3 linked regions of the Drosophila melanogaster genome follow. The main gene of each other region encodes a partner of the protein of the gene in region 3 in a complex. Each region holds a gene or a part of one and is shown on either strand. Other genes may lie near its edges.

Evidence for each region.
Region 1: Psc (region 3) and ph-p share a complex: the UniProt entries of both Drosophila melanogaster proteins name them as parts of the PRC1 complex.
Region 2: Psc (region 3) and l(1)G0020 share a complex: the UniProt entries of both Drosophila melanogaster proteins name them as parts of the PRC1 complex.

What each region holds. Positions count from the first base shown.
Region 1 is NC_004354.4:2,133,568-2,138,582, forward strand, and holds the start of ph-p (polyhomeotic proximal), read right to left. Parts: upstream 3,056-5,015; 5' UTR 2,485-3,055; coding exon 2,450-2,484; intron 1-2,449. UniProt on the Drosophila melanogaster protein: Polycomb group (PcG) protein. PcG proteins act by forming multiprotein complexes, which are required to maintain the transcriptionally repressive state of homeotic genes throughout development.
Region 2 is NC_004354.4:8,716,158-8,721,911, forward strand, and holds l(1)G0020 (lethal (1) G0020), read right to left. Parts: upstream 4,121-5,754; 5' UTR 4,009-4,120; coding exon 3,806-4,008; intron 3,747-3,805; coding exon 3,299-3,746; intron 3,239-3,298; coding exon 1,960-3,238; intron 1,900-1,959; coding exon 930-1,899; coding exon of another isoform or gene 926-929; intron 909-925; exon of another isoform or gene 790-908; coding exon 663-789; 3' UTR 556-662; downstream 1-555. Other genes in the region: CG1785 (uncharacterized protein), read left to right, coding at 1-94, 157-553; CG1789 (uncharacterized protein), read left to right, coding at 4,449-4,952, 5,077-5,286. UniProt on the Drosophila melanogaster protein: RNA cytidine acetyltransferase with specificity toward both 18S rRNA and tRNAs. Catalyzes the formation of N(4)-acetylcytidine (ac4C) in 18S rRNA. Required for early nucleolar cleavages of precursor rRNA at sites A0, A1 and A2 during 18S rRNA synthesis.
Region 3 is NT_033778.4:12,977,940-12,982,931, reverse strand, and holds the start of Psc (posterior sex combs), read left to right. Parts: upstream 1-1,937; 5' UTR 1,938-2,884; intron 2,885-4,710; 5' UTR 4,711-4,768; coding exon 4,769-4,992. UniProt on the Drosophila melanogaster protein: Polycomb group (PcG) protein. PcG proteins act by forming multiprotein complexes, which are required to maintain the transcriptionally repressive state of homeotic genes throughout development.

The DNA of each region.
Region 1 (5,015 bases), on a different chromosome or scaffold from region 3:
GTTTTTTTTTTTTTTTTTTTTGTTTAAGCAAATATGGCTACTTGGTAAATACAAAAATCTGGTTTTAGTCATTCAAAAAAGTGTGAGACAAATGCGGGAACTAGCAAACAAAAACGCTCTTATTAAATAATCATATTTACAATGTAAACATAAAAGATGACTTTCGAGAGTGGCAGAAACAAACGCGGGAAAAGTAAATATGACTCTGAGGTAACGATCACCTTTAACTCGGGATAATATCAAAACTATAGTTCCGACTTAATCACAAGGTCAAGCCTGAAGATATGTACCATGTCATTTCAATTTCTAATTAAGAATTGTGTACCCTGGTTAACTTTTAGGTAGAGATCCCGAGCCCGATCCCGATCCCAATCCCTATCCCGAAAATATTCGTTCTTTTTGTGGACCTTTTTCCGAACCCGCCCTTTTTCAGCGACAATGAACATTTGGCCAACTACTTAACGGACTTTCGCATTCAACGAATGAAGAGAAAGGAGCTGCCTGACAGCCTTCGCATTTCACATCGATCTTTATCTATGGGTTTTCGAATTTCCATGAGCAGCATGGTAGTCGCACTCGTTTTCCACGTTCAACGTTCGACAACAACAGCCCGGAAAACTAATTTAGCCACGCAGCTGGCACCGTTCGATATTATTGTAAAAGGGCAATAAAGCCGATGCGAATTGCAGGCGAAGTTCAAGGACCTTTCCATCGAAATGCTAAAAATGCTGACAGTTGGGAGCAACACGAGATGGTTAGTGTTTTATACAGTAGTGCTCAAGCTAATAGGATTAGTGGACAAACGTAAATGGCTGAGTACTCCACATGGTAAGGATGTTTTTCTAGAAATAATTAACTAATATTACTTCCTGAATCAGTTCCCTGATATAGTTCAACTATGAATGATCTAACTGGAGAAGCGTGGTTTCAAGGTCCTATTGCATTGACCGCGACTGTGATGCCCGGCAGTCCAGAGAGCCTGATCCCCACCCCTTTCCATCGCCCAAAAAGCCCGCAAGGCCCATAAACAGCAAGAGCATAAAAAGCATGAGTGCAAAAAAGACAGAAAAAGGAGCGAAATGGGTTATAAAAGCCGGTAAAAGCATTTTGGCAACCCTCATGTCGCTGCTACCCCGTAAAAGAAAGGGAATATGGGGTGGGTGGTCCAGAGGGGTGGAATACTCGCCACAGGGTGGTGGGTGCGCGTGTGCAAGTGTGTGTAAGTTAAGCTCACGGCCGCACGCTGCGAAAAACCTCTTGAGAGAAAAAAAAAGACTGGTTTCCATGTCGCCATGGAGTAGGGTACATACATTCGAGCTCGAGTGTGTGAGAACCCCCGTAAAACAGCCTGCTTGCAATCGGGGGGAAAGCAGTAGCGGTGGGAAAGGAATGATCAAAATGCGGGGCAGCACACACACACACAGACACGCCGATAGGGGTGCGGGGGAAAGGTCGCGCTCAAATCAAACATCACCTCCAGTGGATTCGGGCGTGCAAAATGCGCGGGAGCGAGCGAGGAGGGGGGGGGCCTTGACAGCCTATTGATTGATACACAAACGAGTTCTGCAATCGAAGAAGATGAAACAAATGTGAGTGAACGAGATGAGGCTATGGCCAGGCCGTACACACAGTCACATAAACTCAGAGCGAGTGCGGTGTAGCGTAGGTGTAAACAGAGTTGTCAACTATTTATTTACAAAAACTGTTGTGCTTTAAACGAGTCTAAAATAATTTAATCATTCTGGTTTATTTTCTTGCCACGAACAATTTAAGTTTGTAGGTAAAAATTAGCATTCAGTGATAACGGACTGTAAGAAATATAAAAGTATTCAATAAAATTGAATCTTCGTTAAACCGGAACACAGATTTCTCAGATTCGTTACAGCTGACAACCCTAGACTGTTTATTTCGGCAGAGTAAAGCAAAATGTAAGCAGGGTTGCCGCAGCAACAACAAAAACTGATACCTTTCGATATAGAACTTTTGTTTTCTTTATGTTGCTTTGTTGCGCGAGTGAGAGAGGGTTGCACGGAGAGACGGAGAAATCAACCACCACCAGCCGACGCACACACACAAATGCAGACACGGGCATGCATTGCGAAATTCGTTGTTAAAAATGCAACAACACCGCACAGCGGGGGGCGTGTGTCGGTTGGATGATGAATGGCGGAGAGGGCGACGGAGGGGAAACTCGTTTTGGGTTTCATGAATTTATTTTCTTTTCTTGGCCCGCCAGTCGAGCGCATTTTATGATGACAGAGAGCACAGAATATCCACTCGCTGCATTTTTACGAGCATTATGATTAACGTGTCATTATTATCCGAATACGATATAGAATCAATATCCAATGCTCAAGAGCAGATTAAACCAAAAATTGTAAACAAAAAGCACAAGTGCAGGCAGTACAAAAGCAGTGATAAAAATAAAACCAAACTAAACAAAAAATACCTTTTTTGCATAAACTTCAATGCACGACGATCCATTATTCAAAATAAAAACAATATTTATAATAAATTATAGGTATGCATGCGTCGGCTTAGGCGTTTTGTTTTTGTTTTCGGCGGCGGCGGAGACACTCGTGGTTGTTTTTGTTATAGTCGGCATGGCGCTTTCTTTTTAGTCCTCAGTTTCTTCTCTTTTTGCTATTTGCCGTATTATATTGTACATTAACAAACACGCACATGTGTGAAGGCAATAAATATAAACATACAACAGGCAACACCAAACATATACATATGTATGTAACGTGGAACGCAAGACAACAAAAGTACACAAAACGAATACGAAAATCCGACAAAAGTCCCAGTGTCTCGTGTGTGTGTGTGTGTGTGTGTGTGCTTGCGTGTAAATGAGTGTTTCGTGCACGGGCAGTAGTAATTAGTACAACCTCCACTCACAGTCACTCCACTTCAACTTCTCCCCGCTGGCTGCAGGCACTTTTCTTTTTCTCAGTGTAACGACTAAGCACCTGTGCACGCGATCTTACATAAAATTAAGCCACAGTCACAGCACTAAGTACTTGTTTTAACTGCACTGCCTACGTCGCCAGCGACGATTCGCCAGCTAGGGGCTCCACTGTGGCGCGGCATCACTTTTTATGTCTGCACATCTGCACTAGCTAATCAACAGCACCGTTAGCTCTTTTTGAAAAAAATTTAACAAATTTGCAGGGTATCCAGTGAGTATGTCGCGTCGGCGGGTTTTTTCTTCGTTCAATACACATGCGATGCGGTATGCGACACATACGACACCACACCAACACGAACGCAGAGAGAGCAGAGCGCAAGAACCGTACACCGCCAAGTTAAGTTTCAAACTGAACCGCGCGCCACAGCGACAACTCTACTTTTCGTTCGGATCGGAAACAAAATGAGCGCATGTGCGCTGAATATGTGTGTGTGTTGGTGTGCAGCTGGATCCGCTTCTCTCTTCTCAGATGCCGTTGCGACTAATAACTTTTCTCTATACCGAAATGCACGGGTGCGAGTGCGACGCCACTAGGAGTGGCCCTGGCCAGTTAGCGCGTGCGAGAGGGATGCCGTGCGTTCGCTTGGGGTTGGAATGAAACGGCAGCAGTTCGTTTGACAAAGCAAAACCAAAACGAGTAAAAAAAACAGGAAGACTACAGCTGGCGGGCATGTGTATGCGTGCTCAACCACCCCGACTGAAAGCCCCCTTCCGTTGCTGAAAACATAACATGGTCTGGTGACTCGACTTTCAAATACCCCTTTTTCATATACCATTCCTCGCTAACTTCAGTCGTATCCTTAAAATGAAAACCCTTCTTAAATATTTATTTGTAAGTTATTGGTGCTGACTACTAACACAAATTCCAGTTAAAACCAAGTGCCCAGTATACCCTTTTACTTTGTGGGTACCGGGTATGTACATACATAAATACGCGCGAAGCCAGTTTTATGTGTGTACACTCGAATGTCTACCGCCCGGCCCGACTCGACAACGATTGTTGCTATACTTCATCTTCTTTTTTCGTGCCATCACAACCACCACCACTACGACTACCTTCCTACCTCTACCTCCTTTCTCATTCCTTCTTTTTCACATCAGATCGGGTCGGATCGGCTTTACCTTATTATTAGTTGTGCTTGTCAGTAACACACGGGTGTGTCGGTTGAGAAGGGGAGGATAGCGTATGCGCAGAGGCAGAGCGAAATCTTATTCTCTCCACCCCATTGAACAGTGGTAAGCGATCCATTATTATTGGATTGCTTTACAGTTGCAGTTTGAGAACCAAGAGTACAGTGGGTCAATTTTTTAGAACAGCAATTTTTCCAAACTTTTTATACATATAAACAATGTTACGATAAGTAAAATGAAAACGTTTAGTAAAATAGAATTATATAATAGACATACGTATTGAGTTGATTTATTAAGTTTTAAGTTTATTAATGTTTCAAATATCCACCACTCATGACCCACTGTGCCTGTCTTTGTCATTTCATTTTTCATTTTGTGCCAGCCCGTGCGTGTGTGCATGCACCATTTGTAGTATGTGTGCGTTGCTTTGGGCTCTTGTTGGTCTTCTTCTTACTCTTCCCACCTCATCCAACAACAACGTCGCTGAGCCCCACAAATGTTTTCATTCCGATTAGCTTTTTGTTGGCTTGTCTCGTCTCGTTTCCTTTTCTTTTTTGCTGCCGCCATATTATTTTTAGGCTTTTTAAGTGCTTTTGCTCTCTCTCTCTCGCTCTCTGCCTTGCTTTGGTTGTTCTCATTCGATGTGTGTGTATGCTTGTTTTTTCGGAGCTTTTTTTCTATTAGTTGTGACCTCCTCCTTCGCCGTTATTTCCCTCTTTCGCCTTTTCCTCACAAGTTCAACACAACAAGAAGTCGAGCATGCGCTTTTCTTCTTGCCATTTATAATTGCCTTCAACTTATTGCTCCTTGTGTTTGGGGCGAATGGTACTCCTAGGGCATGAGCGAGAGAGTCGATATTTGCATTTCGTAAAAATGACAAATGCCTAATGAGCGTAAATTGCTGCGCGTGCTTTTG
Region 2 (5,754 bases), on a different chromosome or scaffold from region 3:
AGCAGGCTCGCCGCAACGAGCTCAAGCAAAAGGAGCTGGCGCGTCAAACAGAGCTCAAGAGGAAGCTCAAGCAACAGACGGCTGACCTGATACGGTAAGTTTCTAACTGATGGCGTTGTGGTCCATCTCTAATCTCTATTGTGTTTCTTCATTCAGCATCAAATCGATTCGCCACGAGCTAGACGATGAGGAGGAGGACCTGAATGATCTAAAGAAGCGCCGCAAGCAGCGCGCCGAGAAGGCCAAGTTTGAGCCGAAACGCCTGGGGCGTCACAAGTTCGAGGAGCCAGACCTAGACGTAAATCTGCCCGAGGATATCGCCGGAAATCTGCGCAACGTGAAGACTGAGAGCAGTCTGCTGAAGGACCGCTTCCACACGCTGCAACGCAACAATATGTTGCCCACGACAAAGCTCGTCAGCCGCAAGAAGTCCAAGGTCAAGCGCTTCGAGCGCAACTCCCACAAGGAGCCGGGCGTTAGCTATAATGACCTCAAGGAACGGCGCAGGGCGGCCGCCGCTGCAGCCAAGGCTACTGCCAATATCAAGATATAGTTCAGTTATTAGGTCTCTTTATTTTTAACGGAGCTTACAACAATATGTACTTTTCTATAGAATTAAAATCCACATTCTTTTTCCCCCCAAACGAAAAAAATTATGAACTCTAGATCAGGGACTTGCCCTGACTGCGTCTCTGTTTCGGATTGTTCTTCTTTTTCTTCTTGGACAGCGGAGCTGCCAGGTCGCCATCCTCACGCGTCTCGATTGGTCCATCCAGTCGCTTTACGCCACTGAAACGAAAGAGAGGCAAATACGAAATAAGTTATATTTTTTTTAACTGAGTGATGTTTATAATAAAACGAAACTGGAGACAAATAAATAAACGTGGTTATGTATTAAGCACATTATTAAAAAAAATAGGCGCACCTACCTCTTGACGGAGAGCAGCCCGCTGCCACCGCCTGTTCCGTTTGTTTCCAGCGCCTTGGACCAATCCTCTTCGGTGCCCTTGATTTGGAATTCGTCCAGCTGCTCGGCCTTCAGGCGCTTCAGCTCCTTGCGCTGCTGCTTGCTCAGCTTCTGAGCGGTTTGATCCAGCTCCTTGTCGAGGGACAGAGTCAGCGGTTGCAGTTCCTCGCCCTTGGACAGATCCGCCTCCCGCAGCATGCCGCCTTCGATATGCTCCTCCAGTACCGACCGGAAGCACTGATTGCACCGTTTCATGGCATCGAAAAATTTCGCCAACAACTGGTTACCCGGCATATTCAGCTCCAGACCCAACGCATCCACAGTCTTGCCCTGCACGCCCAGAGCCAAAAGGATGCCCTGCTGCACCAGGTCAAGCTGCAGACCATCGATCCTGCCCTGAAAATACAGCTGGGCAATGTCCGTGAGCAGATCGATGATTAGACGAAACTCGGACTGCTGGCGGGCGTAGCTCTCCAAGCGCTGCAGATCGTGCGGCAAGAAGTAAACATCCAGCATTGGCTTATCGAGTACTTTCAGTGCACTACCTTCCGTGTCCACGGACTTGTTCTTCAGCAAGGCCAAACAGAGTTTCGTCTCGAATTCCCTGAACGTCTTTCCCATCAACTTGAGGACTCTCCTGCGGAAGTCCTGGTAGTACAGGCCCAGCCAGGGCGTGGCATTGGGCGTGTGCAGCATAATGCAGCTATGCTCGGCGGTCAGTTCGTTAGATTTCTGGCTCAAATAGACGGGCACAAAGCCGGCGTTCTTCCAGAACTTCAGCAGCTCGGTGGTGAGGCCATAGGATGTGCCAATATAGTCCACGTGTTCCGGGACACGTTCGTGCAAGCGCTGCAGAAGTGTGGGTATACGACTACGTGGCCGGATTTGTTCCTTCAGCAGACTAAGTTCCTCCTCCTCCACTTCCTCGATACCTATGCAAAATTTAAAGTATTATGTAGTGCATAATAAACCATTGGCGTGCGTGCACTCACCTTTACCAGCATCCTTGCTGGCAACTGGACCGTCCTCCAGATTAGTGTGCTTCCTTGCATAGTAGTCCTTGAGCAGCTGAATGGCCCGCTTGCCATAGCCCATCCTCTGGTAATTCGGATGCGTGGCTACCCTCACAATGCGAACGCCACACAGCTTGGGAAAATCTCGATCGCCATACTGCTCGGCTACGTTCCAGGGAATCAGATCGCCCGCCGCCTTCTTGCCCCTGCCCAGGGAATCGCTGATGCTCTGGGCGGAGATCTGACCCTCCAGTGCCACTTGGATAACCACCAATATCTCTGGCAGGGCGTCCATTCGCTGAACCGGACCCAGTAGACAGAATAGATGATGCGCCGGGGCATCGCTCATCATCTGCAAATCGTTTGGTGTGTTCTTGTAGTGCGAGGACACATAAATGGAGACCAGGCGATGGAGAAAGGCCTCGGCAGCCTTGTGATACGAAAACAGGGCGTCCCTGTCCACATAGTACAGTTCACAAGCATCCGGCGTGGGACAGCCCGAGCTAATACTCGGCACCGTACTGGCATCCAAGCACAGCAGGTTGATCAGCCACTTTTCTATGTCGTCGTTCTCCTGATACCGAATCGATTCCTCCAGTTTCAGTGGCGGCCTTGCATTGTTATCCTTTTGCAGCTGGGAAATGAGCTTCAAGCTCAGCGATCTGCCAGTGCCCTCGTATCCATTTATCGTACTGGCCATGAATACCAAATACGGACCGATCATCTTCTTTACCAGCGGCAAAGGAATGGCAGCCGCCTCATCGATCAGCAGAAGATCGGCTGCGTTCAGCAGATGAGTATCGCTGGGAGCTATGTACTGAATGGTCTGCCTGCTGCTTCTCGTAATATTTATTCTTATTATCGCCTTTTTGTAGTCGGCATTGGTGGAGCGTATAATGGTGTAGTCAGCATGCTCCTGGTACTCCAAGGCATCGAAGCCCTTGAGCACAAATTCAAAGAGCGTGATTAAGTTCTCCGGATGCGGTGAGGTAACGTAGATGTTCACATAGCCAAAGGCGACGGCGGCGGCAATCGACAGACCCAGGGCGGCCGATTTACCACGACCACGAGCCGCTGTTAAGGACATGGGCGGCTTCAGTTGCTTGTCGACCAGCGCCTCAATGAACTGGGCAACGGCATTGGCCTGATCGTAGGTCTTGCAGAGATTAACCAGAGCTCCTGCTGGTTGAACTGTGAGCAGGCTCTCCTTCAGCTCCTTGAGGCTAGCCTCGTTGGGCGATCGACCGGCGCCTGCGGGCTGAAAGTTTAGAAACAAATGGTATTAGCTGCTTTAGAAGATTTACAAGCATCAGCTTACATTCACTGGCTCCACGTTGATGGTCTTGGAGCTAAGTGGCAGCACGGTGAGGTCATCGTTGACCACCAGACAGCGCTTGCAGTCCGCCAGGGAGAGAATGAGTCGCTCATTGAATCGACAGGTCACCGTCTGATGGGCTTCTGTGCGGAATCGCTTGTGCACATCCATGCTCATGGTGTACAACTGTTTCAGCGACTGCAGTGTCTTCAGCAGCAGGATGATCAGACCGCCGCCCTCAACCGTTTCCACAGTTCGAGCCAAAAGATTGGGGGTCAGGGCCTCGAAGTCCTGGAGCACACACACGCCGTAGGTTCGTCCGAGGACTGCGTGCGTCTCGGAGTAGTATCTGCCGTGAATGGTGGTGGCCACTCGAAAGGAATCGAACAGGTCCGCCTCATTGACATCCACTTTGCCCACAGCAATCTTCTTTGCTCGCTTTTTGCCATGACTAAAAATGTATCTAGTTAGCTGAGTTTCTGTGTAATAGTTCTACAGTTGGATACTCACTTGGAGATGGCCTCATCCTTGTTCTTGTAGCACCACAGGACCGTGGGTCGCGCCTTGACCGTCGACTTGGTCAGGATGTCGTAAAGAATGGGAACCTGGTCGCGCGCCTTGTCCCCGATGACGATGAACATGGTTCGGTGGCCCAGCTTGACCCCATTCTCGATCATCACGCGTATCCGGTTGTCTATTTTCTTCTTCACCATGCTTCGGCTTTCCTGCGTTCACTTTTCACTTAAAAACTCCGGTTTTCCGAAGTAAATAATGCAAATGAAATTGTTGCCCGTTCAAAATGCACGTGTGCGGTTTAGAGATGGGCGCTTTGTCGATAGTCGCGACTCAACTATCTACTTTACAATGTCACGGAAATCGTCAATCATATTACCATTGTGAAATGCACATGAATGTTGTTTACACGAAGTCTTAAATCGTAGAATTCGGGTGGGATTTGTATTGATGTCTTCAAGAAGGCAGCTTGAATTTCTACCAATGAGATTTTTTTAAAAATTCCCGATTAACACCACATTCGATGTTTTGAGTCAATGCGATACATTTATCGAGTAGTTGTGCATCTCTAATTCCCCAAGCGCACGTTTATCAAAACAGAACATATTTGATTGCTGTCGAGGATTAGCATAAATTGAAGATGTCATCGTGGAAGAATGCGTCGAAAAGCAACCAGAAGGTGCACAGGGAGCGCCACCAGCCGGAGTCGCGCCAGCATCTGGGATTCCTGGAGAAGAAAAAGGACTACAAGAAGCGAGCCATCGACGCACAGAAAAAGCAAAAGACCTTGAAGCTATTGTACCGCCGGGCGCAGAACAAGAATCCCGATGAGTTCTACCACCATATGATCAACTCCAAGCTGTCCAACGATGAGCACCACGAGAAGGACACGAAGGACGAGCACACGCCCGAGCAATTGGCCCTCATGCAGACGCAGGACCTCAAGTACGTGGTGATGAAGCGCACCATGGAGCGCAAGAAGATCGAACGCTTGAAGGCCTCGCTGGTGGACGTGGATGCCATTAAGGGAGCAGCCAACAAACGTATCAAATTTGACGAAGACGGATACATGGAGTTGGACATGGGCGAATGGCTTTTAAAGCATGATGACGAGGAGGAAGAGGAGGAAAAGAAGAAGAAATCGGTAGGTCACCTCTTTAAAACCAACGAGGTTGTAAGCTTTTGTGAGAAACTAATTTATAATTGATATTATACTTATGATTTATGATTCTACTTGTGTGTAACGATTGCCTTTAAATTTTTTGTAGAAAACAACTGAACCAAACCCCATCAAACAGCAGCGCATCAACGAGCTGAAGAAACGCGAGCAGCGTGAAAGGGAACTCGGCATCGTCCAGCAGAAGATTCAGCTGAAGAACACCCTCAAGCAGCCACGCCTACTGAAGCCGAGGAAAATAAAGCCGGGAACCAAGGACAGTGCGCCCGTCTACAAATTCCGCTACGAACGCAAGAAATAGAATATTTCCCCTCTAGTTAATAAAGCAATTAAGTGTTAGTTGAAGACTTTTGACAAAACTATGATTTTTATTGTTTTGGATTAAGGAATTACATATATAATTCCCAATTTTGAATGCAATTCAAATGCAAGTAACAAGTTAAATGAGATATGGCATCCTAGTTTTGGGTCATTAATTCGAATGTTCTGATCAGAATATTTATATATACCGAATAGAATAATATATACCGAAAAAAAACAAGAAAAAGTAAAAGCGAATGGGTATGTAACTCGACTAAACGCTTTTTTCAGATTCGTTAAATATTTAACGAAATTTAGATCTTTCCAGGGCACAAACCAAATTTAGTGCGAGTTTCGTTAAGTTAGGTACGCTTAGCCAAGTCATGACCCCAACTTCAAACTGAATTTAAACATTTGTAATGTTTTATTTAAAAAGTCAGCTTATTTTTTAAATTCATTCTTCTTATCT
Region 3 (4,992 bases):
CTGATTCACAAGCTGGCGAACTTATCGCCTTGGATGACTCACACAATTGATTATTTTGCTCCTGAAAAGAACAGTTTTTTTTTTGTTATTCCCTGATAATGTTTATATATACATATGTGCCAAAATTTATGGTTATACGTATGTATATACCTAAAACAAGCGATGTATTAAGTTATATTAAGATCTTTACCAAATCATTTATTAGGTTCTTTACTGAAAGGTAAATGTTCATTGAATCCTTTACTTTGTGACAGAAATAATAATCATAATAATAATAATATATTAAATACATAACTAATCATTATAATCAAGAATTATTAAAAAGCCTTTGGAGGTCCCTGTAATGCTGGAATTTTTCTTCTACGGTGAAAACTGTGTGCGAAAGTGTTTACTGGAGTGATTACAAAAAAAAAACAAATCCCTGCCTAAAACACCACTTAAATTAAAATTCATTGGGGTTTTTTGACCATCACTATTGTGAAAGATATGATAACAGAATGCAATTCTATTATGATTCCGTAAAAGTTCACGCAAAGACAATTCTTGAGTGCATATTTTGTCTAGACGATTCATACAAAAGGCTAAAAATAGACCAAAAAGCACATTTTCAATAAAATGCAAGCTTTCGACATAAGGTCCGATCGGTAAACAATTTTATAGTAACATGAACTTAAAAAAAAGTTGGAAACAAACTAAGACAAAACAAAAATATTTGTTGATTGAAAAATATAATAACATTTAAATGTTATGTATTCAATGATAATTTTAGTTGTTTGGCTTGAAGGGTACTTTTACAATTGTGTACTTATCAAACTTTTAAATATAAAATTTTAATATTTTTACAGTTTTAATATACTCTAAGATTACTACTGTATTTCTTCTATGAGAATAAAAATCAATCTTTATTATTGTTTGGGATGAAACTTTAAAAACATTTTGTAATTTATTAAGGCTAGTTTAAGAAATGGTTGAAATATAAGAATAAGAAATATAATAAGAAATATATTAATTTAAAACCTCCTGACATCTCCGATTTTACTGTGGGCAAACCAATCAATAAAAGTATTATAATAGAATGGAAAATGAATAAGAAATTAAAAAATTTTAAAAAGAAGTTTTCCCTGCAATAAAACTGAAAGAAAAAATCTTTAGACTTTTTGATCTGCGAACTTCGAAGACTTCAGAATAGTATTGGGTGAGTACGCTACTATTTAGAGGATAGGATCATTATAAATAAAAATATGCAAAATAAACTCTTAACTCCCACGGCAATGATAATAATGGTGTTAATTTGCATGGAAAGTATCGTCATGGTACGGTTCCTTCGTTCGCAATTTATCCGTTAGATCTGCATTGTTACGTTACGTAGAGCAGTCTAACGGTTAATTCGCCAAGACGGAAACGAAGTTGCTGCTTTTATTGTTGTTGGCTGCCACTGATTGGAGAGCTCTTTCGCGCTCACATTGTGGTTGTTGCTGTTGCTGCCACTTCTGTGGGGGAAAAAAGGAAAAGGCAAGGGAAAAGAAGCAAAAAGCATTTCCAATTTGGAGGCATTAAATAGCGTGGGAGCGAGAGGGGTGCAGATATAGACGTACGCCTACGTGCAAATATGCGATTTCTGCTGACGGAAATTGCAAGTTGCGATTACATAGGCACTCATTCTACCTTGATTGCACATGGTCTTATGTATTCCGAAGTGTTTGCAGATGGATAAGAGCCCGTAAGAGTTGTAAAACCTCTGCCATTTATGTGCAGCCCTTTGTTCTCTATCCCCCTCCCTCTTCAATTTTCCGCTTGTACATACAGAAACGAACAAAGAAACGGCTGGCAAAGCAAAAGAAAAGAGCCAAACGCCGACGTCAATGTCGGCGTCGACGCAGGCAGCGGCAGCGACCGACGATGTGGCGACCGAAAAACAGAGTCAGCGAAGAGCGCCTGTTTTAGTGCAACACCAACATTCAACGAGAGCGGTTCGTCGACGCTGTGCGGAAAGATTACAGAGCGAACGAGAGAGACCGAGCCAGAGCGACGACGCCCCGCAACGAGAACAACAAAAGAGCCGAGTGCGCGTGCAAGAGAGATAGCTGACTTGTTGCCCAGTGAGAGGCCGGCGAGAGCGAGACGGACGATCAGTGTGCGAGCGACGAAAAAGAAAACAAAGATACTCGCCCAGAGCAGTTGGCTACCTGTCTTTGGCCTGGTATATAAGTGTGTGTATGCGAGAGAGAGTAAATAGCGGGCAACGCAGCAGTACATAAACGAAAAGCAGCGTGGTCGTTAGTCGAACAAAAACTCTCAAAGCGAACGGACGTGTGCGGTCGGTTGTTTCGATACTCCTGCTTTATCGCTATCCAAACAGAGTGAAGCGACCACTATAAATAACGAAACAAGAAACATGTGTTTATATTACAACCAGAGCTCAAAGCTTCAGTTGCATAATAATAATAATAATAAAAAAGCAATCTGAAGCCAATTTCCTTTGTGTGACAAATGCCGTAGCAGCAACAACAGAAGCACAACACAACTACGTCTGCTGGCTTATGTACGTCGCGCGCGCTTGTGTGTGTGTGGGGCAGAAAACATAGAGCAAAGCATAATACACAATAAAGGTGCCCGCGAAAGCAGAGCAGCCGAAAGTGCCAGCGCGTGTTGGTGTGGTTTGAATGTGCAGGCGAAGTGAAGAAGTAGAAAGAAAATAAAATAAAATAAAAGTGAAGTGGAGCATAGTGAAGAAAGAGAAGCAGAAACGCTGACTCAAAACTCAAGTGTGGATTATTTACTTGGATTATTCCTCTTGCCATTGGATTATTTATGTATACAAGGCGACCACCGCGATGCCAATTAACTGGCTGGATTATTAGTGGATTAAAGATTGGATACAAAGGTACATGATTGGCGTTAATCAACACTGCTCTCGACCGGCAGCTGTTGCGCTCTCCCCCCACCAACCACAGCCCCTCTTCTGTTTTCTCTTGATGACCCCCTCTCTTTCTTTCTCCTTTTGTCCCAGCAAGTAAGAATTTCGATTGGACACACGGCAATTGAAAAAGGGGAGCATGAGAATATGAGCGTGTGTGACTGATTTTTTTTTACTGCTCTTTCATTTAGCAACGTTTTTTGTTTTATGTTTATGTACTTGTTTCTTTGAATGAAAGCAATATGCGAGTGTGTGTGTGTGCGTGCTTGTGAAAGAGGAGATAAAGCCGCAGTCTCGGTTCTGCATTCTCCGAATTTTCGCTGGGTTGTTGTTTTTTCTGTTCCCTGTCACAGTCTCGCGTTTCCCTTCTTTCAACATCCCTTCGCATCCCTACCCACACACACACACACAAACATACGCGAGCATATAAACACACGCACACCACACACAAATAAGAAATTCCGCTGCTTTTTTTTTTATTATCCTTTTCATGTTGGTACTCACTCACATTTTTTTGCGCGCGCGAGAATCCCTGAGACTTTAAACACGGCAATGGAATGGGTTCGGTAAAATAAGAAGGGAAAGGGCCAACAGAAGGGTTCCTCTTTTCGCACAGCACTTAAAAGTGATGTAAAAAGGATTTAAAGAGGCCTGCTGGCAATTTCTTTTCGCCCTCTCCCATATACAGTCATTCATATTCCATTGCCATATTTTCTGTACACAAATATAATTTTCCATATTCTGTGTGCCCCCGGAGTTGAAAAAGTTTTTCCGAAAAGTTTACCGTATGTACCTTGACTTTTTACTGGCGCGTTGATGCAAAAACAACTTGAAGTTGTTTGAAATACACATTTTGTTCGACGCCCCCACAGATCCGCCCCCCACTTTCGATGTACTTGGCATCTGGTTAAAACTCCACTCGGCACTCTTCACTCTCCCCCCTCCACCCTTCCATCCATAATAAAACAAAGCACCCCTGTGCAACTCTGCTCCCCCCTCTTTTGATCCCAAAAGTGCTGTGCATTTCAATATATTCGACGTAGGCATTCCCATGGCAACTACAACATCCATTATCGAGGGCCCCCACATCCATCGACTGATTGCAAATAATAGCTGCCAGATTGCGACTCCTTTCTGTCTACTGCTCAAGTCCCACAAGCTTTAATTTGGGACATCATGTCTGAGTTAAATGCATTTTGATTTCTTTGAGCTAAAGCGTTCTCTAACAAATTAAAGTCAAAGCATATTCACTAAACTCTAAAAATTGAAATGATCTTTAAGTTTCGATGTTCATGCAACAACATATTTGTTTATTTTACTTAATAAGTTCTTGTCTTTGATCATTTATATTGAGTCAGCGTACTTGGCAACATCATTAAAATATTTTCTGAACAGATCTCTTATGACGATCACTGTAGAAACTTTATCACCATTTCAACTATATTAAAACTGATTCACGAAGAATGATGCAAAAGAGAAGATTGCAGTGAGGAAAAATACGATCCCACCGAGTTCATTAACTCTACCAGTTTTCCCAGAAAGTGTATATTTCCCTTGCCTCCATTATTCTATCGTAAACAGCGAGGGGCGAGTGGAGCTTTAAGCTTCTTCGCGCACCAACGAGGCTATACCGATATAGCTTCGGCTTATTGCTTTCTGCGGCTCAGCGTCTGATTTATTTATAATCTTCAGCACGCTCTCTTCTCGAGTCGATTTACATTTTCCATTTCACATTTTCCATGCGCTCCTTTATTCGCATTTAATTTTAACTTCTGGCATTATCTATTTTGCAGATTGACGCTTGTGCGAAAAACAAAAGCGAATTTTTAGCGGCGAGAGTGTATTATTACTATGATGACGCCAGAATCGAAAGCAATACAGCCGGCAGCAGCAACAACAAAGCAAACAGCAGAAGCAACAGCAACAACAACAATGGCTCACACACAACAAAAGTCGCAGTTGTCAACGTTGGCGAAAACAACAACGACAACGGCAACGAATAAGGCGGCCAAAAGCGTTGTCAGCAATGCAAATAGCAGTGGCAACAATTCGAGCAAAAAGCTGGCTTTGTCTCA